Stegostoma tigrinum: one gene and its partner. The protein of the gene in region 2 interacts with the protein of the main gene of each other region in a biochemical or structural test. Links are inferred from orthologs where the notes say so. Each region holds a gene or a part of one and is shown on either strand. Other genes may lie near its edges.

What was found.
Region 1: of the proteins of protein kinase C alpha type (region 2) and mgmt, one has a biochemical effect on the other in vitro, tested with the Homo sapiens proteins (2 studies listed by BioGRID). The link is inferred for Stegostoma tigrinum from reciprocal best matches to the Homo sapiens genes PRKCA and MGMT.

The regions. Positions count from the first base shown.
Region 1 is NC_081373.1:34,861,732-34,877,351, reverse strand, and holds the start of mgmt (methylated-DNA--protein-cysteine methyltransferase), read right to left. Parts: upstream 8,177-15,620; 5' UTR 8,078-8,176; exon of another isoform or gene 8,048-8,077; intron 1-8,047. UniProt on the Homo sapiens protein: Involved in the cellular defense against the biological effects of O6-methylguanine (O6-MeG) and O4-methylthymine (O4-MeT) in DNA. Repairs the methylated nucleobase in DNA by stoichiometrically transferring the methyl group to a cysteine residue in the enzyme.
Region 2 is NC_081375.1:8,920,401-8,935,832, forward strand, and holds the start of protein kinase C alpha type, read left to right. Parts: upstream 1-9,106; 5' UTR 9,107-9,118; coding exon 9,119-9,276; intron 9,277-9,755; coding exon 9,756-9,787; intron 9,788-15,432. UniProt on the Homo sapiens protein: Calcium-activated, phospholipid- and diacylglycerol (DAG)-dependent serine/threonine-protein kinase that is involved in positive and negative regulation of cell proliferation, apoptosis, differentiation, migration and adhesion, tumorigenesis, cardiac hypertrophy, angiogenesis, platelet function and inflammation, by directly phosphorylating targets such as RAF1, BCL2, CSPG4, TNNT2/CTNT, or activating signaling cascade involving MAPK1/3 (ERK1/2) and RAP1GAP.

The DNA of each region.
Region 1 (15,620 bases), on a different chromosome or scaffold from region 2:
CTTCTTTCACCGTGATGGAGGACAAACATTCACAGACATTCTGTAAATAAACAGTCACAACTAAAATAGATGAACCAAGACTTATGGGAAGAAAAAACATGAATAGCTGAAAAAAAACTAAGCTAAACAGACTAAGTTTCAAATAGCCACAGTACTTAAGTTATTTATATTTTGAAGATAGAGCAGCAAATGTTGTGCATGTGGAACAAGATGAAACAATCGTTGCTGTGGATTCTTGCAATTTGTTTTTGTGACTTCCTAAAATCTGTTGACATGTAATGACATTTGTTTTTGACAATTTGTTCAATGTTTTGCTGAAATGACATTATAATCTCCAAAAGTTTGCCAATGGGCCACAAGCCAAGAGGCTGATACATTCACGATTCCCACAAACCCATCATTAGGCAACTCTATACACTTATTTCAACAGCACATGTGCCATAAACACTGAGCTGGATTCTCAAGATTTATTCCCACCCACCCACCCCACACATAAACGATCTATAATTTGAAATTAAATAAAAAATGAAAGAAGTCATAGCTTGTACTAAACATATTTTCTACCCAAGAGGACAAACTTGACCACAGTCATATTTCAGCAACGTGATCCCCTAATTTTCTATGGTTTTCATTAAACTTTACATTTTCAGTCTCCTTCAGAAACTTTACTTATCAAATAGGCACTGAAGTGCAGAGAAAAAGATTAGTGAAGACAAATATAGGCCCTCTACAATCAGAAACATGAGACGTTATCATGGGGAACAAGGAGATTACAGATCAATTACATGCATATCTTGGTTTAGTATTCATAAAGGAGGGTGCAAATAACTTGCCAACATGTTGGAGAATAAATGGTCATGTGAGAAGGGGGAATTGAAGGACATCAGTATTAGTTGAGAAGTGATGTTGGGAAAATTGATGGGATTAAAGGTCAATAAATCCCCAAAGCCCAATAATCTACAACCCAGAGTGCCGAAAGAAGTGGCCCTAGAAACGGTGGAAGTATTGGTCATCTTTGAAGATTCTACAGACCGTGGAACAATTACTATGGCTTGGAGGGTAGTTAACATAACCCTACTATTTAAAAAAACAGAGGTAGAGAGAAAATAGGGAATCATTGACCGGTTAGCCTGACATCGGTATTAGGAAAATCGCTACAGTCCATTGTTAAAGATTTAATATTAGAGTATTCAGATAACAGTGGCAAGGTCAAACTCCAGCTATTCACCATAGATTAATGAGTTAAACAGACTAAAAGTAATCTCTCCAAGTTTGCAATCAACACAAAGCTGGGTGGGAGAGTGAACTGTGAGGCAGACACAGAAATACTTCTGCGTGATGTGAATAAGTTGAGCAAGTACGCAAACTCATGGCAAATGAAGTACTGTATAGATAAATGTGAGGCTATTCACTTTGTTGGCAAAAACAGAACAATAGATTGTTATCTGAATGGTGCTAAGTTGGGAAAAGGAAATGTGCAACAATATCCAGATGTCCTTATACACCTATCGCTATAAATTAAGCATGCAGATGCAGCAGGAGGCAAAAAAGGCAAATAGTATGTTGAACTTCATTGCATGACGATTTGAGTACTGGAGCAGAGCAGTCTTGCCACAATCGTACAGGGCGATGGTGAGACCACAACTGAAGTTGTGTGTGCAGTTTTCGTGGCCTTATCTGAGAAAGGGATGTTCTGGCGATGGAGGGAGTGCAAGGAGGAGACTGATTCCTGGCATGATATAAAGAGAGGTTGGATTTTTTAGGATTATACACACAGGAGTTTAGAAGAATGAGGCGAGCTCTCACAGAAATCTATAAAATTCTAATAGGACCAAACAGGGCAAAGGCAGGAAGCATGTTCCCGATGACAGGGAATCCAGAAACGTGGGTCACAGTCGAAGAAATGCGACAGGCCTTTAATAACTGAGATATGGAGAAATTTCTGCACTCGGATAGTAGTGAGCCCATGAAATTCTCTGCCACAGAAAGTGGTTGGGGCCAAAACATTGAAATTTGTCAATGAGTTAGATACGGTTCTTAGGGCTGAAGAGATCAAAAAGTATGAGATGAAAATGGGAACACGGTACTGAGTTGGAGGTTCAGCAATGATCATACTGAATAACAAGTCAGGCTCGAAAGGCTGAATAGCCTGCTCCTGCTAGTATTTTGATAGTTCCTTTTCTGGATCAAGGGCCAACACAGCTAGTTGTGGGGGCGAGCCCACGCTTGTGGCAAAACTCCTTGTAGCCTGGTCAGAATACCTTCTTTGGAAGAATATGGTGCATGGTACAGAAGAGACTGAAGCAAATACATACAGTCATACAGCTGTAAAGCTTGGAAACAGACCTAGAGGCCCAACCCATCCATACTGACCAGATATCCTAAATTAATGTCGTCCCAATTGCCAATATTTGGCCCATATCCCTCTAAAGCCTTCCTATTAATATTCCCACCGTATGTCTTTTAAATATTGTAATTGTACCAGCCTCCACCACTTCCTCTGGCAGCTCATTCCATGCACACAACGCCTTCTACATGAATCAGTTGTTCCTCAGGTCCCTTTCAAATCTTTCCCTTCTCACCTTAAACTTATGCTCTCTCGTCTTGGACTCCCCCATCACGGGGTAAAGACCTTCGATATTCACCCTATCCATGATCCTCATGATTTTATAAACCTTTGAAAGGTTACCCATCAGCCTCTGATGCTCCAGGAAACATTACCCCAGTCTATTCAGCCACTCCCTATAGCTTAAACACTCCAATCCGAGCAACATTCTCATAAATTTTTCCTGAAACCTTTCAAGTTTCACAACATCCATCCTATAGCAAGGAGATCGGAATTGTATACAGAATTTTAAACAAGCCTAATCGATGTGCTGTACAGCCGCAGCATGACCTCCCAACTCCTATACTCAATGCACTGAACAACAAAAGCAAGCATACCAAATGCCTTCTTCATTAACTTGTTGACCTGGGACTTCACTTTGAGGAAGCTATGAACCTGCACTCCAAGGTTTCTTTGCCTAGCAACACTCCCCAGGACCTTACCAGTAAGTATATAAGTCCTGCCCTGATTTGCCTTTCCAAAATGCAGCGCCTCACATTTATCTAAATTAAACTCCATCTGTTGCTCCTTGGTCCATTGGCCCATCTGATCAAGGTCCCGTTGTCCTCTGAGATAACCTTCCGCACTGTCCACCACACCTCCAATTTTGGTGTCTTCTGCAGAAGTATTAACCATACCTACCTATTAACCACTTCCTACAGTCTCTGTCGATTCCTCCCACTTCCTACATACAAAGGGGGTGGCCATGGGTACCTGCATGGGCCCAAGCTATGCCTGCCTCTCTGTAGGTTACGTGGAACAATCCCTCTTCCGCACCTACACAGGCCCCAAGCCCCACCTCTTCCTCCGACACATTGATGACTGTATCGGCGCCACCTCATGCTCCCACAAGGAACTTGAACAGTTCATCCACTTCACCAACACCTTCCACCCCAACCTTCAGTTCACCTGGACCATCTCCAACACATCCCTCACGTTCCTGGACCCCTCTGTCTCCATATCAGGCAATCACCTCGAAACCGATATCCATTTCAAGCCCACCGACTCCCACAGCTACCTAGAATACACCTCCCCCCACCCACCCTCCTGCAAAAATTCCATCCCCTATTCCCAATTCCTTCGCCTCGGCTGTATCTGCTCCCAGGATGAGGCATTGCACTCCCGTACATTCCAGATGTCCTCGTTCTTCAAGGACTGCAACATCCCTCCCCCTCCCACAGTGGTCGAGAATGCCCTGAACCGTGTCTCCCACATTTCCCGCAACTCATTGCTCAAACTCTGTCCCCGCAATAACCGCCAAAACACAAACCCCTCATCCTCACGTACCACCCCACCAACCTCCGGATCCAACGCATCATCCTCCGACACTTCCACCATCCGACCCCACCAAATACATTTTTCCCTCCCCACCCTTATCTGCCTTCCAGAGGGCCCACTCTCTCCGTGATTCCCTTGTCCACTCCACACTCCCCTCCAGCCCCAGCACACCCGGCACTTTCCCATGCAACCGCTGGAAGTGCTACACCTGCCCCCACACCTCCTCTCTCACCCCCATCCCAGGCCCCAAGAAGACTTTACACATCAAGCAGATGTTCATCTGCCCATCTGCTAATGTGGTATACTGCATCCACTGTACACGTTGTGGTCTCCTCTACGTCGGGGAAACCAAGCGGAGGCTTGGGGACCGCTTTGCAGAACACCTACACTCGGTTTGCAATAAACAACTGCACCGCCCAATTGCGAACCATTTCAACTTCCCCTCCCATTCTTTAGATGACATGTCCATCCTGGGTCTCCTGCAGTGCCACAATGATGCCACCCGAAAGTTGCAGGAACGGCAACTCATAGTCCACTTGGGAACCCTGCAACCCAATGGTATCAATGTGGACTTCACCAGCTTCAAAATCTCCCCTCCCCGCACTGCATCCCAAAACCAGCCCAGCTTGTCCCCGCCTCCCTAACCTGTTCTTCCTCTCAACTATCCCCTCCTCCCACCTCAAGCCACCTCCGTTCCCTACCTACTAACCTCATCCCACCCCCTTGACCTGTCCGTCCTCCCCAGACTGACCTATCTCCTCCCTACCTCCCCACCTAAACTCACTTCTACTGGGTCCATCCCTGCCTCTTTAACTTGTCTGTCTCCTCTCCACCTATCTTGTCCTCTATTCATCTTCGATCCACCTCCCCCTCTCTCCCTATTTATTTCAGAATCCTCTCCCCCTTTTCTGATGAAATGTCTAGGCCCAAAACATCAGCTTTTATGGTCTTAACATGCTGCTTGGCCAGCTGTGTTCATCCAGCTCAACACTTTGTTATCTCAGATTCTCCAGCATCTGGAGTTCCCATTATCTCTATTAACCATACCTCCTATGTTCACATCCAAATCTTTTATACAAGTGGCAAAAACCAGTAGGCCCAGCACCAATCCTTATGGCACACCACTGGTCACCGGTCTCCAGTCTGAAAAGCAACCTTCCACCACCCTCTGTCTTCTACCTTTGAGCCAGTTCTGTATCCAAATGGCTAGTTCTCTCCCGCATTCCATGGGATCTAACCTTGTTAACCAGTCTACCGTGTGGAATTTTGTTGAAATCCTTGCTGAAGTCCATATAGATCACGTCCACTGCTCTGTGCTCATCAATCCTCTTTTTTACTTCTTCAAAAAATTCAATCAAGTTCTTGAGACATAATTTCCAATGCACAATTCCATGTTGACTATCTCTAATCAGTCCCTGCTTTTCCAAGTACATGTGAATCCTGTCTCTCAGGATTCCCTCCAATGACTTGCCCACCACTGATGTCAGGCTCACTAGTCTATAGTTCCCTGGCTTTTCCTTATCACTTTTCTTAAATAGTGGCACCATGTTAGCCACAAGCGAGGTGATGGAAGACTGGAGTTTGGCTATCGATGGTACAAATATCTCAGCAAGGGGCCCAGCAATCATTTCCCTAGCTTCCCACAGAGTTCCAGGGTACATCTAATCAGGTCACGGGATTTATCCACTAATATGCATACATTCGCTTCTCTTCAAAGTAATTGTATTTCTAAGTGTATCTTGAAAATAAAATTACACTCTGTGTATCCCTCTTTCCTTTTTGAATCCCTTAATTATAGTCTGTTTTATTTCAACTTACATACCAATGTGTGAACAGTGCCATAAAGTATGCTCTACAATCTGTAATTAATGTCAGCTCAACAAAAATTCCAATTATAAGGCACTTTACTGCACAATAAGCTCATGACAAATGAGAGGCCTACTCTATAACAAAAGTTTGCATTTATACAGTGCCTTTAACATGGTAAACAATTGCACGGCTTTTCACAGGAGCAGGGCCAGAGAAAAGAAAAATGACATAAGCCACATGGAGCATCGTCAGGGCAGGTAAGCAAAAATCAGTCAAAGTTCGGGGAGATCTGACCGACCAATCAGATCTTTTCTATTATCTGGGCTCCTCAGACCATAAAATTCTGAACCGATGATCAGATTTTTTTTAGTTCACAGGATGTGGGCATCACTGGCTGGACCAGCATTCATTGCCCATCTCTAATTGCTCAGAGGGCAGTTGAGAATCAACACATTGCAATGGGTCTAGAGTCACATGTAGGCCAAACCAGCTAAGGATTGTAGTTTCCAACCCGAAAAGGCTTTAGTGAATCAAATGACTTTTTCTGTTGATCAGCAATGGTCTCATGGTCAAATTAGACGTTGAAATTCCATATTTCTCTTTTTTTGAATACAAATTCCACCGTCTGCCATGATAAGATTTGAAGTCAGTTACCCAGGTCATTACCTGGGTCTCCAGATGAATAGTCAGGCACTAAGACCACTAGGCCATCACCTCCCCTCATTTTAATGCTTTGTGCGTTGGTTCCGAGCAGTCCAGTGTGCAAGCTCTAACCGGCACCCCAAAATTCAAATTCGGAGGCAGAGAGCGGAAATCATGTCAGCTGCCAGCAAATGTACAGGGCCTAGATCAGATGCAGTCCAAAAGTCGCAGTGCAGACTCACAAAAATAGCTGTCAGTGTGTGGATTGATGCCTCAACAGTAGCTGTGGGGAAACATGCAGAGGGAAGAAGCCAAATGTAATTGCTGCATCGAAAAGTATGTTCTTTGATCTCCATCACTAAAATGCTGCTGTTAACAACTTTATTTGACTACACGTTGTGTTCTTTTGCCTTCTCCTAAAAAAGTCAAATTTTAAAAAGCAACAGTATAAGAAATTGTTTCATTAGAGTCATATTGATATGAACTATTTCTAAAATAACGTGATGGGAGAGCAATCAGATACAATCACAAACATCCAGTTCTGCAAAGCGACCTACATAAACGGTGTTTTCTAAACACTAAAGAGTTCTCAAAAAAAACTTACCGACTGTAGTAGAATCTCAGGATTCTCCTGACCATGTAAGTGATTAATTTTAATATAAAACAGTAGTTGCATAAACAAAGAACAGTACGCAACATTTAAACTGCTCACGCTGTCTATCTTCTGTACACGTGTGCTGCAAACTCTTTAAAGAGCAGCCCTACAGGGACAAGTACTGTTGTGTAAAGTACACACCCTCTTACACATCCCAAAGCATTTCATTTTAACATTCTTCAACGAACAGATAATTGGTAGTCAAAGGACATCTCCATAAAACCCCACTGACTAATGTTTCACTGAAGTGAAACAGACTAGTACCAGTAATGTCAGGTAAAATATCCACCTGGACTATGTTCACTAGTCAGAGATTAGCCTGTTTACAGCACTGCATGGTGACTAGTGAATGTACTCCAGGAGGATCCTCCTGTCAGCAGAGTGTACCCGTGCATTGATATGTCAGTCAGCAGAGGTGTACAGAGAAGCCCTTAGACTGTGAATCATTCGGTGGCACGGCTTTTATAATGTTCTGGGACGCAGAAGAGATCAAGCGCATTTATCTGCAGCATCATTTTCCCTTAAAGCAGCAGTGCGCTTTATTTTGGGCCTGTCAACAGAATCACTTACAAATGAGGAAAATAGCTGCGTGAAAGATACTGAATAACACCCCCTCCCCCCAGAATCGCGAACAAAGCATGTTAAGGAGATAAATATTTGTGGAGTTAATAGGGAACTATTGGAAGGGTTTATGCGGTGCTGTAACAGGAGGCCGCGGCGTCGGATCTAACACAATTAAAGTTGTGCTGCAGCAGAGACTGGTTTCAAATTGCAACCCGAACGGATACATGAAGGGATACAAAGTGTCCCCTTTGAGCCTGCGCGACTTCCTCTCCTGTCACGTGGAAGACGACTCTTTTCCCGGACACGGAGCGAAAGGAGGAAAGTCTCTGCGGCTGTGAGGAACTGGGACTAAACCGCACTCAGTGCTGCGGCTCTCACGGCGTGCAGACATCAACGTGAAAGTTCCCCGAGTGAGCCGCCTTGCCCAAGTCCACCCAGTAACCTCCTCATTAACTACCCCCCGGGTATATCAGACTTCTTCCACACACACTCACATTTCTGAATTGAAACAACTCCCGCTGTACCTGTGGACACAGAAGCAAAAGTTCCCTCCTTAGGTCATGAACTTCCGTCCGAAGCAAAGAAGCTAGTGCGTTTGCGCAGATTGTTTACCCCTTTCAGTTTCAGTTTTTTTTGTTTTAACTTGTTAATCATTTGCCCAAGCAGTCCTTTTTTTATTATCGATAATGATAAGCATTTGTTCCGAACTCCAGGGTGATTGTTCTGGTAGGAGGTCAAAATATTTGTTTTATGATTAAGCAGTGTGCCTTCCCTGCCTTGCTGGTCAATCAATATCGCTACCTTAGTGAGCAAATTTCCTGCTGCCCTGATGCTGCTTGGCCTGTTGTTTTCATCCAGTTCTATACTTTGTTATCTCAAATGTTTTTAATGTTGTCTTAAAGTTAATGAGTTTAACTGCTTTACTAACTCTGTGCTTTAATTTCCAAAAAAGTTTTACAAAAAAGAAAAAGCAGAGGATCGGAGACCGCTTTGTAAAGGACGTGTGCTCTGTTCGTGACAAATGACAATACTTCCCAATCGTGAACCACTTCAACTCCCCCTCCCAGGGTGACATGTCCGTCCTGGGCGTCCTCCAGTGTCACAGTGATGCCACCAAAAAACTGGAGGAGCAGCACCTCATATTCCTCCTCGACAGCCTACAACCCAACGCTCTCAATGTGGACTTTATTCGTTTCAAAATCTCCCCACCCCAGGCCTCATCCCATAACCAACTCTCCCTCTCATCCCTGCCTCCTTGACCTAACACAACTTGCCCATATCCCCTCCCACCTTACTGACCACTCCCTACCTGCACTCACCTATCACCATCCCACCTACCTTCCCCAACCCCATCTCCCTCCCCCCATTTCTGAAGAAGGGTCTTGACCCAAAACTTCAACTTTCCTGCCCCTCTGATGCCTGTCCTGCTGTGTTCTTCCAGCTCCACACTGTGTTATATCTGCTCAAAAAGGAAATACGTTTTTACTGAAAATCTTTGTTGCTTTGTAATACCAAGGTTTCTGAAGCAGCACGCTCTGCCATTGTGACTTGTACCACCGAGAAGGACAAGGATCAGCAGACTTCTGGCAACACCTCTGAACCCCACACACCATCCTAACTTGGAAGTCTATCGCTGTTCTATTATTGTGTCTTGGTTAGATTCCTGGAGTTGTTTAGATTAGATTCCCTACAGTGTGGAAACAGGCCCTTCGGCCCAACAAGTCCACACCGCCCCTTGAACCATCCCACCCAGACCCATCCCCCTATAACCCACACACCCCTGAAAACTACAAGCAATTTAGCCTGGCCAATCCACCTAGCCTGCACATCTTTGGACTGTGGAGGAAACCCACGCAAAACATGAGGAAAATGTGCAAACCCACCATCACAGTGGAAGCAGTTGTTCATGTACATTGTGGTAGTTCCAGAAGTGCCTTACCCGAATCTTAAGGGTGGCTAATGATGAAAAAGTGTGAAATGAGGAATCTTGTAGGAAAAATGCAATGGACAATCTGAACAGATAGTACAGTTCTGAAGGAGATACTTGGGGTGTGTTACACAAATCTGGATGAGATAGCAGGTCAAGCTAAGAATGCGAATAAAAGCATTTAAGATTTTTGACTTCATTAGTAGAGTTAATGCTAAAATCTTATGGAATTTTTAGTTGGCCAAAGCTGAAATATTTAGTTCCATTCTATGCATCCCACTTTAGAAAAGATTGCAAGAGCTGAGAAGGAATGGAGGAACTGTTATCTAAAATGGCTTTAAAACTGGTGATTTTCAGTTATTTGGACAGGTGCAGGTTAGAACAAATAACAGGCAATTCAGCCCGCCAAGACTGCATTAAAATATTATGGCTTTGTAAGTAGGTCTTTTGCTTCAATGCAGTCCCTGTCCCTCTCCTTCATATCTGTCGGGATGCTGCTTAAGTATAGCTATTGCATCAGTCTCTACCATCTCTTCTGGCAATGTATTCTAGGCATCAGAATGTATGCAGTGGAATGTCCCTTTTAAACAAAATAATAGCCCTTTTGGCACACTAAAAGCAACATTGGCTAATTGAATGGCATGCTGGGAAAGAAACAAAGCCAATAAGCTTGCAGAATTCACTGTCAAATTGGATCAGGCCAGACAATGTACAAGATATTTACCTTGATCTTATCAACACTTATTCAATGCTATGAAATCTTGGATTGAATGAAAATCGGAGTTTTGGTAGAGCTGTTCTTGAGACAGCCTGGCTCCTAGGATCGATTTCAGTCAGTAGGGAAGTTACAAAGTCCTCTTGTAACACCTTTTCCTGGGACAGAATTTCATTTACATGAATGATGTTACTACATTGCTGTATCAAACTGCTGTAATTACATAGGATGAATCTGCATGTCAGTTACCCTGCCAACAAAGTGAATGATAGGAAGCCACTGTACTTGGGGATGACCTAGAAAACTACTTAAAGGGACAACTCAAATCAGACACTCTACAGACAACATTAGCACAAGGAGTTGGAACCTTGGGAGCGAGAAGGGCAGCCTCCACTTCAGGTCGTCCAGCTGTAGTCAGGGTAGTACAAACTTCTTTAAACCCTCTTTTAGGAAGCAAAAGATAGTAAACTGGTGTGCACATAGTCTTTTAAGAAATGTAAGTCTACTCAGGCCTTTAGATGGACATTTGGTTTTATAGAATTACAAGTATATATCTTGTGTTTCAACAATAATAAACAACCTCTCATGATAAATCGTGTCTCATTATTAGTGAAAAACGAGTCCCAGTAAGTAAGCAAGTAAATCATAGACACATCAAAATGATGCCTGCAAGAAAAGGTTTAGGATTGAAAAAAACATGTATAACCCATCTGTGCAAAAAGGGAGGGAAGCAGAAGACAGTAACTCCACGCCCCTTGTCTTCTGATCTATTGTGGGAATGGTGTTAGAATTCATCAATAAAGAGGTTGAGGGTGCGTTTTTGGGAAAAAAAACTGAAAGTAAACAGGATGAGTCAGCATAGTTTTGTAAAGGAAAAATCATTATTAGACGACTGAAGGAATAACAAGTGCTGTGGTCAAAGATGAACCTCTAGATGTAGCATACTTGTATTTTCAGAACATATTTAGAATCATTCAGAAGGAAGAGGCCCTTCTGTCCATTGGGTCTGTACGGCCAAAGCAGTATATACTCACTACCTACACTCATCCGACTTTGCCCACTGGGCCCATAGCTTGAATATTATGCCACTTCAAATGTTCGTCCAAGTATCTTTTAAAGGTTTTGGGGTCACCTGCCTCGACTATTCCCTCGCAGTACATTCCAGACACTTGCCACAATCCAAGTGAAAAGATTTCCCTCAAATTCCCTCTAACCATCCTTCCTTTCGCTTTAAAGCTGTGTACCTGTGTTCTTGCCCTTTGACTAAAGGGAACAGCTGCTTTTTATTCACCCTGTCCCTGCTGCCCAATTTTGTACACCTCTGTCAGATCTCCCGTCAACATTCTCTACTCCAAAGGAAACAACCCAAGCAAAGCCAACCTCCCAGGTGCTGTAGCAAAAGTAATTGCAGAAAATTTTAAAAACTCATTGTTAGAACCTCAGTGTAGAAGTAAGCCATTTAGCCCCCTGATCCTGCTCTGCCTTTTAATACATTCATTGTCAATTTCATCTTGGTTCCAACTCCAGTTCCCCACCTGCATCCCTTTAACTTGTTACTAATTAAAAATCCATCGATCTCCTCCTCAAACTTATTCAGTGTGCTGGTGTCCACTGCACTCTGGGATGGTGAATTCCACGGATTCATGAGCGACTTAATTCCTCCTCATATCCGTTTTAGATCTCTCACCCTCTTGCTCTAAACCTCTGATTTCTCATTCCAGATTTCCCCAACAGGGGAAACTTGCATCGGCATTGTCAGTCCTCTTTAACATATATTGCATCAGATCTCATTCTAAATTCTTGTGAGTTTAAGCCCAAATTGCTCAATCTGTCTTCATGAGAGAAGCCTGCTGCCTCTGGGATTAATCTAGTGAAGTAACATCTTGCTTGCAGTATGGGCTCCTAATTTAAGAAAGGATGTAAATGCACTAGATGTGATTGAGAGGAGGTTTAGAAGAGTGTCGGTTAGCTCAGTTGGCTAGATGGTTATTTTGTGATGCAGAGTGAGACCAATAACATGGGTTCCATGTCCACAGCAGCTGAGATCACCATGAAGGACTCTCCTTCTCAACCTTTCCCCTCATCTGAGGCACAGCAACCCTCAGGTTAAACCACCAGCAGTTGTCTCTCTCTTTCTCTAATAACAGAGCAGCCTTGATGTCCTCTGATACTTTGGTAACTTTGCCTACTTTTACCTTTGTTACCTGGAATGAGGAGGTTGTCTTATGAGGAAGTATTTCACAAACCGGACTTGTTTTTACTGAAATTAGAAAGAACGTGGGGTGATTTGATTGAAGTGTATAAGATCCTGAATGGCCTTGATAAGGCACATGTGGAAAGGATGTTTCCTGTTGAGTTCAGAACTAGGAGCACTATCATAACATTAGAAGTTGTTCTTTTAGGACAGATGATGAGATTCTTGTTTTCTGAGAGTTGCACAACTTTGGAACATAATACCCTGAAAGGAGGTAGAAGTGGGCTCGTTGAATATATTTGAGACAGAAATTGATTGGTGGAGATTGAAACATGAAATTCAAAATATGAACAGGCCAGTATGATATTATTGAATAACAGATGCCACTCAAGGCCAATTAGCTACTTGTGCTATTTAAATCTTCAAAAAAGTCTGTTCTGCCATTCAGTAAGATCATGGCTGATCTGAATGTGGCCACCATGCCACTTTTGATTATTTCTCATCAGCAAATGTGACCCCAAAACATGAAACAATAACTTACTCTCCAAGCTGCTGCCAGACCTGGTATTTCCAGTATTTTTTACTTTTATTTCATGTTTAGACATAAAATGAGATCTACATTACTGTAAGTAAACAGCAACAGGTTTCAATGAACTATGTATAAAGGATGGTAAGCAGGGACATTTAAGAGCCTAAAGACCCAAGCCCCAATTCCATGTGAATCTGATGTCACCACGGCTGAACAACTGAGCATGTAAACAGAGCTTCTACCCAGAATAAAGCTACAATTCCTTTTATAATGTTGCCGTTATTCAAATATTAGCTTCCAGAAAGGAGATTTTCTCTTGTCTGCTTTGTGTAGTAAAATTGCAAAGGCACTGTTTATAAACACGGTCACTATTTTGAGACACAGAATATACAGGTAGAAAATGCCTCTTGTTTTGCAGAAATCAAGCCCATGTCTATCCTTGTATTTGTTTCCTTTTCTGTGAGTGACAATTTGCTATTTGCTGGGGTTTCAGTTCCTATTAATACTGTTAAGCCCTTCAGTATCAGATGCCATTGCTGTGACAGGATAAATTTACTAAGTTTTGTATGTAAGTGTTTTTTTTTGTATGTAACTATTCCATAGAGTAACCTGAAATCCAAAAGATGGTCCTGGGTGAAAATTAAAAACCAAGGTTTATCTGGCAAGTGGGCGCAACCTGACTTCTGTCACTGGAAATTAAACCTTAAAAGCAAATTGGTATGAAGCAGATACCCTCCCAAAAAGCAGTGAAAAGTAGGATATCATATAATACTTTGTGGCATTTACAACAAACCTATTTGTGCAATGCATGAATCACTATTGATGAGAACTTAGAACTATACAGTACAGAACAGGCCGTTCTGCCCACAATGTTATACCGATCATGATGCTAAATGAAATTGAACCCTTCTGCCTGTCATTTGTCCATATCTCGTCATTCTTTGCATATTCATGTGCTTATCCAAAAGTCCCTTAAATACCTGTATTGTATCACCACCACCTCTGGCAGCTCGATCTAGACCCCTACCACTGTCTGTGTAATTAAAAACTTGCCCCTCATATCTACTTTGAACCTTCCCCCTCTAACCTAAATGCATATCACCTGGTATTGGACATTCAACTCTGGGGAAAAGATTCTGCCTGTCAACCCTATCTATCCATTTCATAATTTTATAGACTTCTATCAAGTCTCCCCTCAGCCTGCATTGCTCGATACAAAACAACCCAAGTTTTTCCAACCTCTCCTTACAGCTCATACCCCACTAATCCAGGCAGTATTCTGATAAACCTTTTCTGCACACTCTCCACAGCCTCCACATCCTTCCTGTAATGTGGCGACCAGAATTGAATGCAATACTGTAAGTTTGGTCTAACCAAAGTCTTACAAAGTTGCAACATGACAAACTGATTTTTGGACTCAATTCCCCAATCAATAAAGGCAGGCATGCCGTATGCCTTTCTTTACCACCCTATCTACTTCCATGGCTACTTTCAGGAGTTATAGACTTGAACCTTAAGATCCTTCTGTATATCAATGCTGTTCACAGTCCTGCCATTAATTGTTTCCTTAACATTTGATTTCCCAAAGTGCAGCACCTCACACATATCTGGATTGAACTCCATCTGTCATTTCACCACCCATATCTGTAACTGATTTATATCCCACTGTATCCTTTGATAAGCTTCTATGCTATCCACAAATACACCAATTTTTGTGTCATCTGCAAACTTACTAACCTACCTATCTGCATTTTCATCCAAGTAGTTTATATATATCACAAACAGCAGAGGTTCCAGTATGGATCTCTGTGGAACACCACTAGTCCAGACCTCTAGGCTGAAAAACATCTAGGCTGAAAAACATCCTTCCACCACTACCTTCTGTCTTCTATGGGCAAGCCAATTCTGAATCCATGCGGCCAAGTCACTGTGGATCCCATGCATCTTAACCTTCTGGATCAACCTACCATGAAAGTCTTACTAAAGTCCACGTCGTCAACATCCACTGATCTACTCTCAACAATCACCTTCATCATCACCTTGAAAAATTCAATCAATTTGGTAAGACAAGACCTGCGCTGCACAAAGCCATGCTAACTAACTCTAATTAGCTCATGCTTTTCCAAATGCACAAAAATCCTATCTTTAAGTTTTCTCTCCAATAGCTACTCAATCATCAATGTGAGACTCATTGGTCTGTTGTTTCATGGATTATTCCTATTCCCCCTCTTGAACAGAGGAACAACATTAGCTACTCTTAGTCCTCTGGACCTGTCCAGTGACTAGCAAGGATACAAAGATCTTGGTCATGGCCCCAGCAATCTCCTCTCTTACCTCTCTAAATAGCCTGGAGTAGATATTGTTGGGGCCTGGGGACTTATCCACATTAATGCTCTTCAAGGGATCCAACACCACTTCTTTCTTGATCTCAAAATGCCGTAGAATTTTAACATGCTCCATACAAATCTCACTATCCACCATATCTTTTTCCTGGGTGAATACTGACGCAAAGTACTCATTTAAGACATGACTCACATTCTCTCCCTTCAAGCACAAGCTCCCTCCTTTATCTTAGAGTGGCCCTACCTTCTCCCTAGTTATCCTCTTGATTTTAATATTGCTAAAGAATACCTTGGGATTCTCTTTAACTGTACTTGCTAAGGTCATTTCGTGGCCCCTTCTTGCTCTCCTAATTCCCAGTT
Region 2 (15,432 bases):
GTGGGAGGAATGGAAAGAGTAGTTGTTGAGGGTGAGGACGAGTTCGGCTAGGCGAAAGTCCTGTGAATGCTACATGCTACTTATCAGCCCAAGCTTAAATGTTGCCCAGTTCCGTCGCAAGTGAGCATAGACTGCTTCAGTGTTAAAGGAGTTAAAAATAGTACCAAACATTGTGCAACTGAAAATGACAGGATCTTGGAGGTTATATTGAGGAACTCCAGCTGTGAAGTACTAGGGAATTCAACAAACACAAACTTAGCAAAAGATCATTTTTTCCCGCTTCCCATTGATGTCAGTTTCGCATTTTCTGATGTCACTTTGGATCAAATTACGTGCAGCCATTCTCACCTCACTTCTGGAATTCAATGCCCTTGTCCATATTTGGGCCAAAACTGTAATAAGATCTGGTTCTGAGTGGTCCTGGTGTAACCCAGGCTTCAGTGAACAGACTATTGATGAGTAATTACCATTTAATTGAATCATAGAGTCATTGCATCCCTACAGTGTGGAAACAGGCCCTTCAGCTCAACACATCCACACCAACCCTCAGAACATCCCACCCAAACCTATCCTGCTATAACCCACCTAATCTACACATCCCTGAACTCTATGGGCAATTTAGCACAGCCAATCCACCTCATCTACACATCTTTGGACTGTGGGAGGAAACCAGTGCACCTGGAAGAAACCCACACAAACACGGGGAGAATGTGCAAACTCCACACAGACAGTCACCCGAGGGTGGAATTGAACCCGGGTCCCTGGTGCTGTGAGACAGCAGCGATAACCCATTCTCAATGACATCTTCCATCACAGCTAATCAAGAGTAGATTGATGGGTGATAATTGACCAGATTAAATTTTTCCATCTTTTTGTGAGCAGGGCATTTCAGAGCATGTTTCTACATTGATGGGTAGATGTCAGTATAATAGTTATGAAGGAACAGCTTGGCCAGAGATTCAAATAGATCTGCAATTCAGAACCATAGTGCTGCTTCTTGGCTGTGTTCAGGTCTCATAGCCTTTGCTGAATCCAACGCCTTCAATGTTTCTTGGAGTGAATCGAATAGGATGAAGACTGTGATACTGTGATTGGAGCTGAATCAGTCACTCAGCACTTCTGGCTGGAGATGGTCATAACTGCCATTGCTGAAATTTGCATAAGAATCACCAACTGTGCCCAAAGTAGCATTTTGTTCTTGTACTTAGGGCTGCACAGCCCATATAGTAAGTATAATGGGCAGGTATGTACTAAAGTATGAACATTTACAGAACAAGCGCAGAATTAGGCTAAATGTCACCTTAAGCCTGCTCCCTCACTCTTTTCTTTATAACCAGAAGTGCTCTCACACCCAACCAAATATAGTTATCCACCACCAAATCACCTGTGGCAAATTTCACCTATGAGGCAAGGAAATCAACCCCAAGTCCTCCAATATCTCCTCGCAGCTACAATTCTCCAGCCTTGGCAACATTTCGTTAAATCTTCTCCACACTCTCTTCAGAACAATTATGTCCTTCCTGTAATGTGGTGACCAGAACTATTCACAATACTCCAGTTGTGGCCTCACCAGTGTCTTATGCAGTTTCATACCCTATTTTTGTATTCTGTACCTCTGCCAAAGAGGAGAGCATTCCATTTGTCCTCTTTACAACCTTACTTACCTGTATTCCTATCATCAAGGACCTATGTATTTGCATGCCAAAATCTCTCACTTTATCTACCCAGTATATTCCCATTTATTGTGCATTCCATTTTACTGTTGACCTCCCTAAATGCATTACCTCACACTTAACACTCCATTTGCCATTTTCCTCTCCACTCCACCAAACCACATCATTTTAGAGCTTACGGCTGTCCTCTACACCATCCACTACAACGCCACTTGCAAATTTTCCAAGTGCACACCTTTCAAGTCCAAATCGTCAATGCATAAAACAAACAGCAGGGCTCCCAACACCAAATCCTGTGGAACACCACTTCAAACAGCTATCCATTCACAAGAGCAGCCACCGACCATGACCTTTTGTTTCCGGTTACACCAACGTTGGATCCAAATCAACACATTACCCTCCATCCCATGGGCTTTTACTTCTTTGATCAGTCTGCCATGTGGGACCTTGCTAAATGCCTTACTAAAATCCATTTAAACAACATCGACTGCATTACCCTCATCAATCCTCCTTTTCACTTCCTCAAAAACTTCAAACAATTTTGTACAGCATGACCTGCCTTTAGCAAAGCCATCCTGACTATCCCTGACTAGTCCATGCCTTTCCAACTGACAATTTATTCAACATTTCAGGCTTGATTCTAACAATTTTCCCACCACCCAGGTAAGACTAACTGGCTATTATTGTTCGGCAATGTTTTTGTACTCAAACAACGGAATCACATTTGCATTCCTCTTGGCCTCCTGCACCTCAACTATGTCTAATGAAGTCTGTAAAATAACTCTCAAAGCATTTGCTATTTCCTCCCTCTTCTCCTTCAACATTCAAGGGAATAGTCCTGGTAACTTCCTCTTTCATTATGCTCACTTGAGGGGTGTCATAATTGAGGTATACAAAATTGTGAGGGCTAGAGATAGAGTAGACCTGATTTTCTTGGTAGAGATTTCAAAAACCAGGGTGAAATAACTCCACAGAGGCCGGTATTCTGTCAACCAAGTCAACCTTTACTTATAGGCGTACAGCACATGAAACTGATCTAGCTCCCTCAGAGTCACCTCACAGAGTGAACAAAATCTCTGCCCCTTCTATTTATATCTGTCAGCCAGGTCTCACTGAATGGACCAGATTAACAGCCCCAATTGGGGAACTCGTATTCTATGAGGTCCTTTATTACAATCACTACACGGGGTTATAGATTCAATCTAAGTGGCAGAAGGATTAAAGGGGTCGTGAGGAAAAACATTTTGATGCAGAGGGTGGTGGGTGTCTGGAATTTACAGCTTGACTTGGTGGTGGAAGCAGAGACTCTTTTTAAAAGCATTTGGATCTGTACCTTAAGTGTTGTAAGCTGCAGAGCTACGGAATGACGGGATAGAAAGGACATCTGAGTGTCTTTGTTTTGGCATGGACAAGATGGACTGGATAGCCCCCTCTATGCTGTAAAATTTCGATCGTTCAGTTGTAACCAGCACCAGTAAATTACCCATGTTTCCAACTGTTGGCTTTACATGCAGAACCCATTAAGGGCAATGCAACAGCACCAAGGAGGGGGCTAAATCAAAATGGCATCGGAGGCGGAGAGAAGGAATTACCCCTGTAGTTCCTACCACTGTCTAAAGGCATCAAGAGTGTTGGTGTGCACCATGTGCTCCCTTTCAAACACCTGGGCAGAACATAGCCAAGGAAAAGGAGCCGGCAATTGGTAACTCTGACCTCCTCCACTGTCCCCTCATTCAATAAGATAGTTGCACATCACCTCCCGATCCTCCCTATTCTGATCATAGTGTAAGGACTTACATATAAAAGTATAAAAATGATACAGTTGATTGTGAAACTAGGATCTTGAATCTGAACAGAGTTATGAGGGGCAATTTGGAATATCATTGAGGTTACTCAGCTCAGCTCCAGGACATCTCTGCAGGAGTTCCTCAGGGCAGTGTCCCGGGCCAACCGTCTTCAGCTGCTTCATCAATGACCTTCCCTCCATTATAAGGTCAGAAGTGGCGATGTTCACTGATGACTGCGCATTGTCAGATAAATTACACAAAGAATTGTGGATGATGGAGATCTGAAACAAACAAAAGCAGAAATTGCTGAAGGAACTCAGCAGGTCTGGCAACATCTGTAGAGAAAAAACAGAGTTAACATTTTGAGTCTGGGGCTCCTTCATCAAAACTGCTCAACAACATCAATAACTTCTCATTTGCTGAAACAGTCCATGTCCAAATGCAGAAAGACATGGATAGCATATGGGTTGACAAGTGGCAAGTAACATTCAAAACCTCCACAAGTGCAGGAAATGATAATCCCTAACAAGAGAGAATCTAACCATTGTCCCTTGACCTTGATGTTCAATGGCATTACCATTGCTGAATCTCCCACTATCATTATACTGAAGGTTAACATTGACTAGAAACAGAACTGGACGAGCCACGTAAATGCAGTGTTTACAACAGCAGGTCAGAGATTAACAATTCTGCATTGAGTAATTCACCTCCTGACTCTCCAAAATGTCCACTACCTGCAAAGCACAAGTCAGGAGTATCATATTCCCACTTGAATGGATGGGCACGGCTCCAACAACACTCAAGAAGCATGACACCATCCAGCCTGCTTGATTGGTACCACGTTTTCCACCTTCGATACGCACTCCCTTCACCACTGAGGCAGCAGTGTACTTCATCAACAAGACATACTGTACTAACTCACTAAAGGTCTTTTGACAGCACCTCCCAAGCCAATGGCCTCTGCCACTTAGAAGGACAAGGGCAGCAGATATATGGGTACATCTCTGCAACCACTTCCTCTAACACTTCCTCTAAGACGCTGCACCTCTTGGTTATTTGCTGCCATTTCATTCCACTAGCAGCATATAACAATGAAAGCTACATAACCTATTTAGATATTCCTTGGTAATTTCCTCTCACTCCATTTCATCAAATCCTGATCATCATTGACTGTTTGTTAAAACCCTCCCAGTCCTTAACTAACAATTCTTTTTGACTACATTGTTTACGTTCCTTTTTAAAATCTAGTATCACCATTAGTTGTATCAAATGTGCTTGTTTAAGCCCTGTGGGGAAAGTATGAACAGTGACCAGGGGTAATACTGGGTGAGTGTGTGAAGGTGGTCTGTACTTGAAGAATGAGCATTTAACAGCAGGCAGATAACTGATACTTTGTGTAATAGACTCTAGATTCAGAAATGATTGTTCCTGTGACGATTTTTAAACCTTCACTCAGAGTGGAGTGATGGTGCATGTGTGGAATACTGAATCAAAAGAGAAGTCAGGAATAACACGGGGAATAAATAAGAAAGAAGCAGGGAGGATGTTTCCGTTTGCGGGTGAAATTAGAACTAGGAGGGCACAGTGCTAAAATAAGGGGGATCGGATTTAGGACTAAGTTGAGGAGGAACTTCTTCACCTGTAGCATTGTGAATCTGTGGAATTTCCTGCCCAGTGAAGAAGTTGAGGCCACCTTGTTGATTGTTTTTAAGGCAAAGATAGACTTTTGAACAATAGAAGATAGGGTGGCATGGTGGTTAGCGCTGCTGCTTCACAGTACCAGGGAGCTGGGTTCAATTCTACCTTTGGGTGACTTTCTGTGCGGAGCTTGTGTGTTGTCCCTGTGACCGCTTGGGTTTCCTCCCACAATCCAAAGGTTTGCAAGGCTGTGCTAAATTGCCTGTTGTGTTCAGGGATGTGTAGGTTAGGTGGGTGTGGGTGGGATGCTTTGAGGTTTGATGTGGACTTGTTGGGCCAAAGGGCCTGCTTCCACACTGTAGGGATTCTATGATTCCAGGATAAGGGTTATGGTGAGCAGGCATATAAGTGGAGCTGAGTTCTACAAAAAAAAAGCTATGATTCAAAAAATGATCTTCATGAATGGCAAAGAAGGCTTGCAGGGCCTTATGCTGTTTTGGCGCATCTCTGGAGTAGCTGGGATTTGAACACAAGCCTCCTGGCCCAGAGATATGGACACTACAATTGTGCCACAAATGTCTTAAATCAAATTCAGATACCACCATGTGCTGTGGCAGTATCTGAACCCAAGTCCCAGGGACATTAGAAACAAAAGCATAAATTATTGGAGAAACTCAGCAAGTCTGGCAATAGATGTGGAGAGGGAAACCGCGAACCTTCTTCAGAACCACAATCGCTGTTTTAGTTTCACTTTTCCAGCATTTGTAGTTCTTCGTTTTATCCCAAGAACATTACCTAGGTCTCTGGATTATATTATGTCCAGCAATCATAACACGACTCAGCATGTCCTCCAACCCCCAAAACACGTGGAAATCATTTGTCAGCTTGTCCAGCAGTGTCTGAAGGGCTGTTGTGGGGCAGCTGGTAGCGCCCGTCCCTGTGAATTAGGAGGTCCAGGTTCAAGTCTCACATGCTCCCGATATGTTTCCTAACATCCCTGAACAGGTTGTTTAGCAAATATCTACATTCGGGCTAATAAAATGTGAGGCTGGATGAACACAGCAGGCCAAGCAGCATCTCAGGAGCACAAAAGCTGACGTTTTGGGCCTAGACCGTTCATCAGAGAGGGGGATGGGGAGAGGGAACTGGAATAAGTAGGGAGAGAGGGGGATTCGGGCCGAAGATGGAGAGTAAAGAAGATAGGTGGAGAGAGTATAGGTGGGGAGGTAGGGAGGGGATAGGTCAGTCCAGGGAAGACGGACAGGTCAAGGAGGTGGGATGAGGTTAGTAGGTGGATGGGGGTGCGGCTTGGGGTGGGAGGAAGGGATGGGTGAGAGGAAGAACCGGTTAGGGAGGCAGAGACAGGTTGGACTGGTTTTGGGATGCAGTGGGTGGGGGGGAAGAGCTGGGCTGGTTGTGTGGTGCAGTGGGGGGAGGGGACGAACTGGGCTGGTTTAGGGATGCAGTAGGGGAAGGGGAGATTTTGAAACTGGTGAAGTCCACATTGATACCATATGGCTGCAGGGTTCCCAGGCGGAATATGAGTTGCTGTTCCTGCAACCTTCGGGTGGCATCATTGTGGCAGTGCAGGAGGCCCATGATGGACATGTCATCTAGAGAATGGGAGGGGGAGTGGAAATGGTTTGTGACTGGGAGGTGCAGTTGTTTGTTGCGAACTGAGCGGAGGTGTTCTGCAAAGCGGTCCCCAAGCCTCCGCTTGGTTTCCCGAATGTAGAGGAAGCCGCACCGGATACAGTGGATGCAGTATACCACATTGGCAGACTGCTTAATGTGGAATGTCATCTTGGGGCCTGGGATAGGGGTGAGGGAGGAGGTGTGGGGACAAGTGTAGGATTTCCTGCGGTTGCAGGGGAAGGTGCTGGGTGTGGTGGGGTTGGAGGGCAGTGTGGAGCGAACAAGGGAGTCACGGAGAGAGTGGTCTCTCCGGAAAGCAGACAGGGGTGGGGATGGAAAAATGTCTTGGGTGGTGGGGTCGGATTGTAAATGGCGGAAGTGTCGGAGGATGATGCGTTGTATCCGGAGGTTTGTGGGGTGGTGTGTGAGAACGAGGGGGATCCTCTTTGGGCAGTTGTGGCGGGGGCGGGGTGTGAGGGATGTGTTGCGGGAAATACGGGAGACGCGGTCAAGGGCGTTCTCGATCACTGTGGGGGAAAGTTGCGGTCCTTAAAGAACTTGGACATCTGGGATGTGCGGGAGTGGAATGTCTTATCGTGGGAGCAGATGCGGCGGAGGCGGAGGAATTGAGAATAGGGGATGGAATTTTTGCAGGTGGGTCGGTGGGAGGAGGTGTATTCTAGGTAGCTGTGGGAGTCGGTGGGCTTGAAATGGACATCAGTTACAAGCTGGTTGCCTGAGATGGAGACTGAGAGGTCCAGGAAGGTGAGGGATGTGCTGGAGATGGCCCAGGTGAACTGAAGTTTGGGGTGGAAGGTGTTGGTGAAGTGGATGAACTGTTCGAGCTCCTCTGGGGAGCAAGAGGCGGTGCCGATACAGTCATCAATGTACCGGAGGAAGAGGTGGGGTTTGGGGCCCGTGTAGGTGCGGAAGAGGGACTGTTCCACGTAACCTACAAAGAGGCAGGCATAGCTGGGGCCCATGCGGGTGCCCATGGCCACCCCCTTAGTCTGTAGGAAGTGGGAGGAGTCAAAAGAGAAGTTGTTGAGTGTGAGGACGAGTTCAGCTAGGCGGATGAGAGTGTCGGTGGAGGGGGACTGGTCGGGCCTGCGGGACAGGAAGAAGCGGAGGGCCTTGAGGCCATCTCCAGGCGGAATGCAGGTGTACAGGGACTGGACATCCATGGTCAATATGAGGTGTTAGGGGCCAGGGAATTGGAAGTCCTGGAGGAGGTGGAGGGTGTGGGTGGTGTCACGGACGTAGGTGGGGAGTTCCTGGACCAAAGGGGAGAAAATGGAGTCCAGATAGGTGGAGATGTGTTCGGTGGGGCAGGAGCAGGCTGAGATGATGGGTCGACCAGGGCAGGCAGGTTTGTGGATTTTGGGAAGGAGATAGAAACGGGCCGTGCGGGGTTGGGGAACAATGAGGTTGGAGGCTGTGGGTGGGAGGTCCCCTGAGGTGATGAGGTCGTGAATGGTGTTGGAGATGATGGTTTGGTGCTCGGGTGTGGGGTCATGATCGAGGAGGCGGTAGGAGGTCGTGTCGGAGAGTTGGCATCTGGCCTCGGCGATGTAGAGGTCAGTGCGCCATACTACCACCGCGCCACCCTTGTCTGCGGGTTTGATGGTGAGGTTGGGGTTGGAGCGGAGGGAGCGGAGGGCTGCCCGTTCTGCGGGGGAGAGGTTGGAGTGGGTGAGAGGGGTGGAGAGGTTGAGGCGGTTAATGTCTCGACGGCAGTTGGAGATGAAGAGGTCGAGGGAGGGTAGGAGGCCTGGGGGTAGTGTCCAGGAGGAGACTACATTCGGGCTCCTGGTTGCAGCGTGGGAATGTCCCTGCCTCTGGCTCCCATCTGCGTTATAACAATTCTACACAGGTTGATCAGGAAACTGTCTGGAGCAGGATCCGAACCTGGTGCCTGGAACGGGGTGTCTTGTGACTTTGTGGTAGTGGCCCTACCTCTGGGCTGGGAGGTACGCCTGTTGTGTAGTGACATCACTGAACAGGTTGACCACGAAGCTGGTGGCGACAGCGGGTCCCTGGAGCGGTGCGGTGCAGCTTGCAGCTCCTGCGCCGCGGCAGCAGGGGGCGGTGTTGAGCCGCCCTGGCTGGCTCAGTGCTGGAGGCTGGGGCTCTGACGCTGCGGCTCCTACCGGGCGGAGCTCCTGCCAGTGATAAAGAGCGAGGGTTCGGTGCTGGGCTCCTCTCAGTCACTCTCCGCCTCCGTCACACCTACACTTTCTGCAATTTATTTGATTTTGTGGCGGGTGGGGGTGAGAGTGATTTTTTTTATTTTGTGCGTTTTCTATCCTTTTTGTTGTTTGGGGGGTGGGTGGGTTGGGGTTTTGGGGGGGGGGGGGGGGGGGTGGTGGGTGCGATTGCAATAAAATGGCCGATGCAGAGGGAGACGGTGGAGAGACAGTCAATCGGTTCGCTCGCCAGGGAGCCCTGCGACAGAAGAACGTGTGTGAGGTGAAGGATCACAAGTTCACCGCCCGCTTCTTCAAACAGCCGACCTTCTGCAGCCACTGCACTGACTTCATCTGGTGAGTGAGTGAGAGAGGGAGTGAAGGGGAGAGAGAGAGAGGGGATTTACCCCCTCCCCTCCACACTGCCTTGCACAAACTCCAGTGCCATCCCCACCCTGCCCCAAAACATCAGGACAATCAAAACTTATCCCCAAACTCTCCCTGTGCAAACTTTCTCTCTCTCTCTGTCTCTCCTGATCAGATTGCTGAACTGCTTTTGCTGTCTCTCACTCTCATCCCCTCCCACTTTTGAGCTTTGCGCTGTGCTGTTTCCGAATTCCCTTTTTTCTCTCTCTTCCCCCCCCCCCCCCCCGCCCCCGTCCTCTCTTTAAATTGTTCTCTCTGGTTTCCTGATCCTCCTATTTTGTTTCATAATTCTTGTGACGTCTCGTTCTGTTTGTATTTCCTGATGTTCCTCCTGTTTTCTTGATCCCAGTGTGGGTTTTATTATTTTTGCCCCTCTCCCTCTAACGCCCGTGTTCTCTGTTTTGTTGCAGGGGCTTCGGGAAACAAGGATTCCAGTGTCAAGGTATTGGAAAGTGAATGTGTCTGTGGCTGGAGCGGGAGCTGTTTGATTTCCTCTGAGTCTGGGTTCCTGCGCCTGAACGATATATATATATATTTTTTAAAAAAAAGTTGTCAGTGATAACCAGAGAGAAAGAGCGAGCAAAAAAAACATACGAGAAGCGGAATGCTATCATTTGAAATGAACAAGTGCGAGTAGTGATCCCTTAGGCTGGGACCTGGCCTGGAATGTGTCCAGTGACGAGTTCGCCACTTAGTTTCAGTTTGAAAATGATGCCGAAATTCTCTCTTTCCCGCTCTGGCGACGTGGCGAGAATGAGGAAGTCCCAACTTCATGGCTTTACAGTAAAAGCTCTTTCCCCGCTGTGGCTGCTCATTGTTGGTTGGGTTAGTGTGTGACAGCTGGGTCCACTGCCAGTCACTGGTTCAACATTTGCATTTGCTCCTTATCCTGAGAGGTTTTTGGAGTGAGTGTGGACTGTCAGTTTACCCACTGCCTCACCGATACACGCGTTTCTCTATAGTTCTCCTGACTTCACTATGCGACCGAGTAAGGTTTACTTTCACTGGGTTACTCTCTAGAAAGTGAAGGTGTGTCAGGGCTGTTTGTATTGTATTAGCTCTTCTACACCCATCTCTGCTCGGAGACAGGCAGTGTTAGAGAGTGACATGTCCATCATGGGCCTCCTGCAGTGCCACAATGATGCCACCCGAAGGTTGCAGGAACAGCAACTCATATTCCGCTTGGGAACCCTGCAGCCCAATGGAATCAATGTGGACTTCACCAGCTTCAAAATCTCCCCTTCCCCCACTGCATCCCAAAACCAGCCCAGCCTGTCTCTGCCTCCCTAACCTGTTCTTCCTCTCACCCATCCCTTCCTCCCACCCCAAGCCGCACCTCCATTTCCTACCTACTAACCTCATCCCACCTCCTTGACCTGTCCGTCTTCCCTGGACTGACCTATCCCCTCCCTACCTCCCCACCTATACTCTCCTCTCCACCTATCTTCTTTTCTCTCCATCTTCGGTCCACCTCCCCCTCTCTCCCTATTTATTCCAGAACCCTCACCCCATCCCCCTCGGGTCTAGGCCCGAAACGTCAGCTTTTGTGCTCCTGAGATGCTGCTTGGCCTGCTGTGTTCATCCAGCTTCACACTATTATCTAGTGTTAGAGAGTGCAGTGTCTCCAACCCAGTGTGGATGATTTACATCTATTTATTAGGGCCTTTCTAGAAACATTCAAGTTTCCACCTCACGTTGTGCTCTGACTGCAGAAGTCAATGTGCACTCCCCTTCAGGCAGTCCACGCTGCAGCCCCTGTTTTTGTTAATCTTGTATTGAGAATGGGAATTAGGATGTCACGTTGTGGCTGTACAGCACATTGGCTAGGCCACATTTGGAATACTGCATGTCCTTCTGGTCTCCCTGCTATAGGAAAGATGTGGTGAAACCTCAAAAGGTTCAGAAAAGATTTACAAGGATGTTGCCAGGATTGGAGGGTTTGAGCTACAGGGAGAAGCTGAGTAGGCCAGGGGTCTTGTCCCTGGAGTGTTGGTGGTTGAGGGGTGGCCTTATCGAGATTTATAAAATCACAAGGGGCATGAACAGGGTGAATAGCCAGGGTCTTTTCTCCAGGGTAGCGGAGTCCAAAATTATAGGGCACTTGTTTAAAGTGAGGGGGCAAAATTTACAAGGAACCCAAGGGGTGACTTTTTCACGCAGAGGATGACGTGTGTATGGAATGAGCTGCCAGAGGAAGTTGTGGAGACTGGTACAATTACAGCATTTAAAAAGCAACTGAATGAGTACATGCATAGGACAAGTTTAGAGGAATATGGGCCAAATGATGGCAAATGGGACTGGATTAATTTCGGATATCTGGTTGGCATGGACAAGTTGGATTGAAAAATCTGTTTCCGTGCCATACACCTCTATGATTCTAAACTGAGGACAAGAAATAGAAATGCCCTGAGATCACCTCAGGCTCACCGTTAGCAATATGAATTGTTCCATTGCTTTTCTGCGTGACTGGAGCTCTGAGCTTGCATTTGATTGCTAGTGCCTAACAGCTGTCCCTTCCTGCTTTTCCTTTGTTTCTTAAAAAAAAGAAAATGTCTCAGAACCTTACCACTTTTTTTTGCAGCCACGTGGGGTGTTTTGCTCAGAAGGATACTCCTTCCATATTAGCAATAGCCACTGTTGCTCACATGGATACCTCTGTATCCAGTTGTTGCCAGCACCTTTTTGTCCTGACTGCTACATCCACATACTGCAGACCCTCTGCGTCGATGGAGAATCTCCAAACTTGTTCTCAAGTTCAATCTTAGCTACGCTTCTGCTTCCACGTCGAAGGAATGCATTTCCAGGCATAAACATGGCTTGTTTCGTTGCTGTTGATAGTATCTGAAACTCATGTTCTTGAAGGACCTCAGCCCAATCCTTGACTGTTGTAATATTCCAACCTTCATTTATTTGTGTGTTTGTAAACTTGTAATTTCTGTTTGAGGTTGCAAGTCACATTCGTCTGCTGAACTGGTTGCTTCATTGTTGGGAGCCTCTGGCAGCTCTGTGTCTCAAAATTATAATGAAAATGCAAGTTTCTGTTTGAGTAGAAATTTGTTTTTTCCACGGAATTTTACCCACTGGGGGTGTAACAGTGGTTATTGCCAACATGGAGGGAGTTTACAGGCAGGCGTGTTAAATTACTGTTTCCCTTTTTTTAATTTGATGTTATGAAAATTGATTATTTTTCATGCCCTCTGAGCTTCTCCAAGTTGCAAGTCAGCTGTGTGCTAATGGCCCACAGTTTACCTACAGTGCTCAGTGAAGCAGATGCTGCTCCTCAGTGTTCACAGAGCAGCTTTGATCTCTTGCTTCCTGCTGTTGATAAAACAGCCACATCGAGTGGCCAGTCTGTCCCAGGCAAGAGTGCAATGTGAGAGGTACATCCTTGTAGTTTAAAGTGTTGACAGCTCAGTTACACCCTGAAGCTGCTCACTGAGTGCTCTGGGCGGAATCTCCAAGTGTGGGTTCATTTTCTTTCTTAAATTAAAAAGGACTGGATTTAAAATTGGAATTTCTAGAAACGCTTAGTGGTATTATCACCAGACTATTGATCCAGAGACCCCCGGTAATGTTCTGGGGACCCAGGTTTGAATCCTGCCACGTCAGATGGCAGAATTTGAGTTCAATACCGATCTGGAATTAGGTTTGAATGATTAACATGAAACAATGTCAATTATTGGAAAAACACATCTTGTTCACGAATGTTCTTTTAGGGATTGAAGCTACCATCCTTAGCTGGTCTGGCCTACGTGTGATTCCAGACTCCCATCAATATGGTTGAGTCTGAACTGCCGTTTGGGCAATATATTGGTGATGCCCTCATTGTGTAAATGAATCAAAAAGACAACAAGGTGTGGAGCTAGATGAACACAGCAGGCCAAGCAGCATCAGAGGAGCAGGAAGGCTGATGTTTCGGGCAGAGACCCTTCTTTAGAAAATTTTCTGATACTGCTTGGCCTGTTGTGTTCATCCAGCTCTACACCTTGTTATCTCAGATTCTCTAGCATCTGCAGTTCCTACCACCTCTGATTTCTGGAACGTGTAGATCTCAGAGCTATGACCATGAGTCTTGACTATGTTAAAATGGTGGTCCCTAGATTTTGGTGCAGTTTGAGCAGATATGACATGTGGCAGAAGAGTGAAGTTGAAGGGGAAGTTTGGCTGTCGGTTGAATGAATGATGAGCCTGATTTGAGGGGACTGTCTCCTGTTTTATGGGGAAAACATCAGAGTGACTGTTGTTCCGTTGAATGAACCCGTCTTCCTGAACTGCTTCCTGGCCAGTGTGCCGGCTTTTTGCTGCAGCCCTTGCTCTCCTTTATGCTGCTGTATAAAGATGGGCAAGAGTGGGATGATGGTGGCCTAGTGGGGGAATGTCGTCAGTTTAGTAACTAAGTCTTATAACTGCCAGATTGTACAGTGATTCTGTTTGTGGTACACCCTCCCTTCTGTTGCAGTGAGGGGTTGGTGGAATCACGGCCATTCTCTTTTTTTTTGTTGCTTGGAATTCGGAGGAGGGGTGAACGCTGAGCTACCTGGTCAGTTACTTAAGCCCAACATGCAGGTCCTCCTGTACCCCTTTTGAGTTACAAGCTCTGAGTCATGCAGTAGAAACTCTTACTAGTATGTAATACGCATAGAGACTCCAGGAAGTCTCAGTGCTGTTTATGACAGATGATAACATTTTTAAAGTGCATTTGCAGTTGTTGTGAGACAGCTAATTAGTACACAGCAATCCACCACCAACAGTAATCTCTGAATATTGAATCAGGGATAACTCTTGACCAGGTCAAACCTCCCCTCTTTTGAAATATGGAATTTTATTACACTAACCTGAGAGAACAGATGAAATTACTGTTTCATATCACATCCAAAAAAAGCAGTGCTACTGACACTGCAGCTATCCCTCAGTGCTGCACACACACCGTGTTGACCCTGATTGGGTACGCCAATCTGAGACATTTGAAACAACGACTGTCTTATCTCCGAGGTGAGAAGGCTACCGACTGAACATTGCCTGACACTGCTGTGGTTACTCAAACACCCAAAACAAGAGCAGGCATGCCTCGCTGTGAGCTTGCTGTGCACCCACAAAAAACTCCAGGCAACACACTCTCCTCTTGGGCCGCGAAGAAAAACGCTGCAGTCAGCATCTTCGGGGTGGGGCTTAGCAGGCACTGTTTAAGTCATCATTGTTTATTTAAATGGGTGGAGACTCCCTGAGGATATGGTTCTGGTGCCATCAGACAATTAAAACAGAAGTCTGAAAGACCACAGTAACCACGACATCCTTTGACCCCGGTTAATTCTGCTGAAGATGAAATAAAGCAAAGAACTGCAGATGCTGGAGACCTAAACAAACCAAAACAGAAATTGTTGGATAAACTCAGCAGGTCTGGCAGTATCTGTGGAACAAAAGCACAGTTAACATTTCACGTTGGCAATTCTTCACCAGAGCTGTCAGTAACTGGGAAGAGGTGGCATTTATGATAAATTTGAGGTTGAGTACGGGCAAAAAGGTGGAGACAGAGCCTAGAGACAGTGAGAGATATGAATGGAGACAGTAAACAAGGAGATTGTGGATGGTAGGCTCGGACGGAAGAAAAGCTGAATAAGTGATAATGAGAGTTAGAAAATGGGTTAGCTGTGTTGAATGCAACCTATATTACATGATATACTTCGGGAATGGGTGACTGCGCTCAAAGCAGTCCATGTGGTAACAGGACCAGGTGTGCAGTGGGTTAAAAACTATGGAACAATGGAATTAGGTTTTTAGGTTAATGAACTATTGAGTCCTGGAGGCTGCAGGGTCCCCAAGTGGAAAATAAGGTGTTGTTCTTTGAGCTTGCATTGAGGCTTGCTGGATAATTGCAACAAAGCCTGTGACAGGAATGTTGGCCTGGGAACTTAGTGGTGCAGACAACTGGAAGCTTGGGGTCATTTTTGTGAATGGAGCTCTGCAAATCACTCACCCAGTCTGTGTGTTGTCTTTCCAATGTAGAACAGACCACATTGTGAGCAGCAAAGACAATAGACAGAGAAGGTGGCAAAAGTGGGGGAGGTGTGGCATTGTTGGTCAAGGACA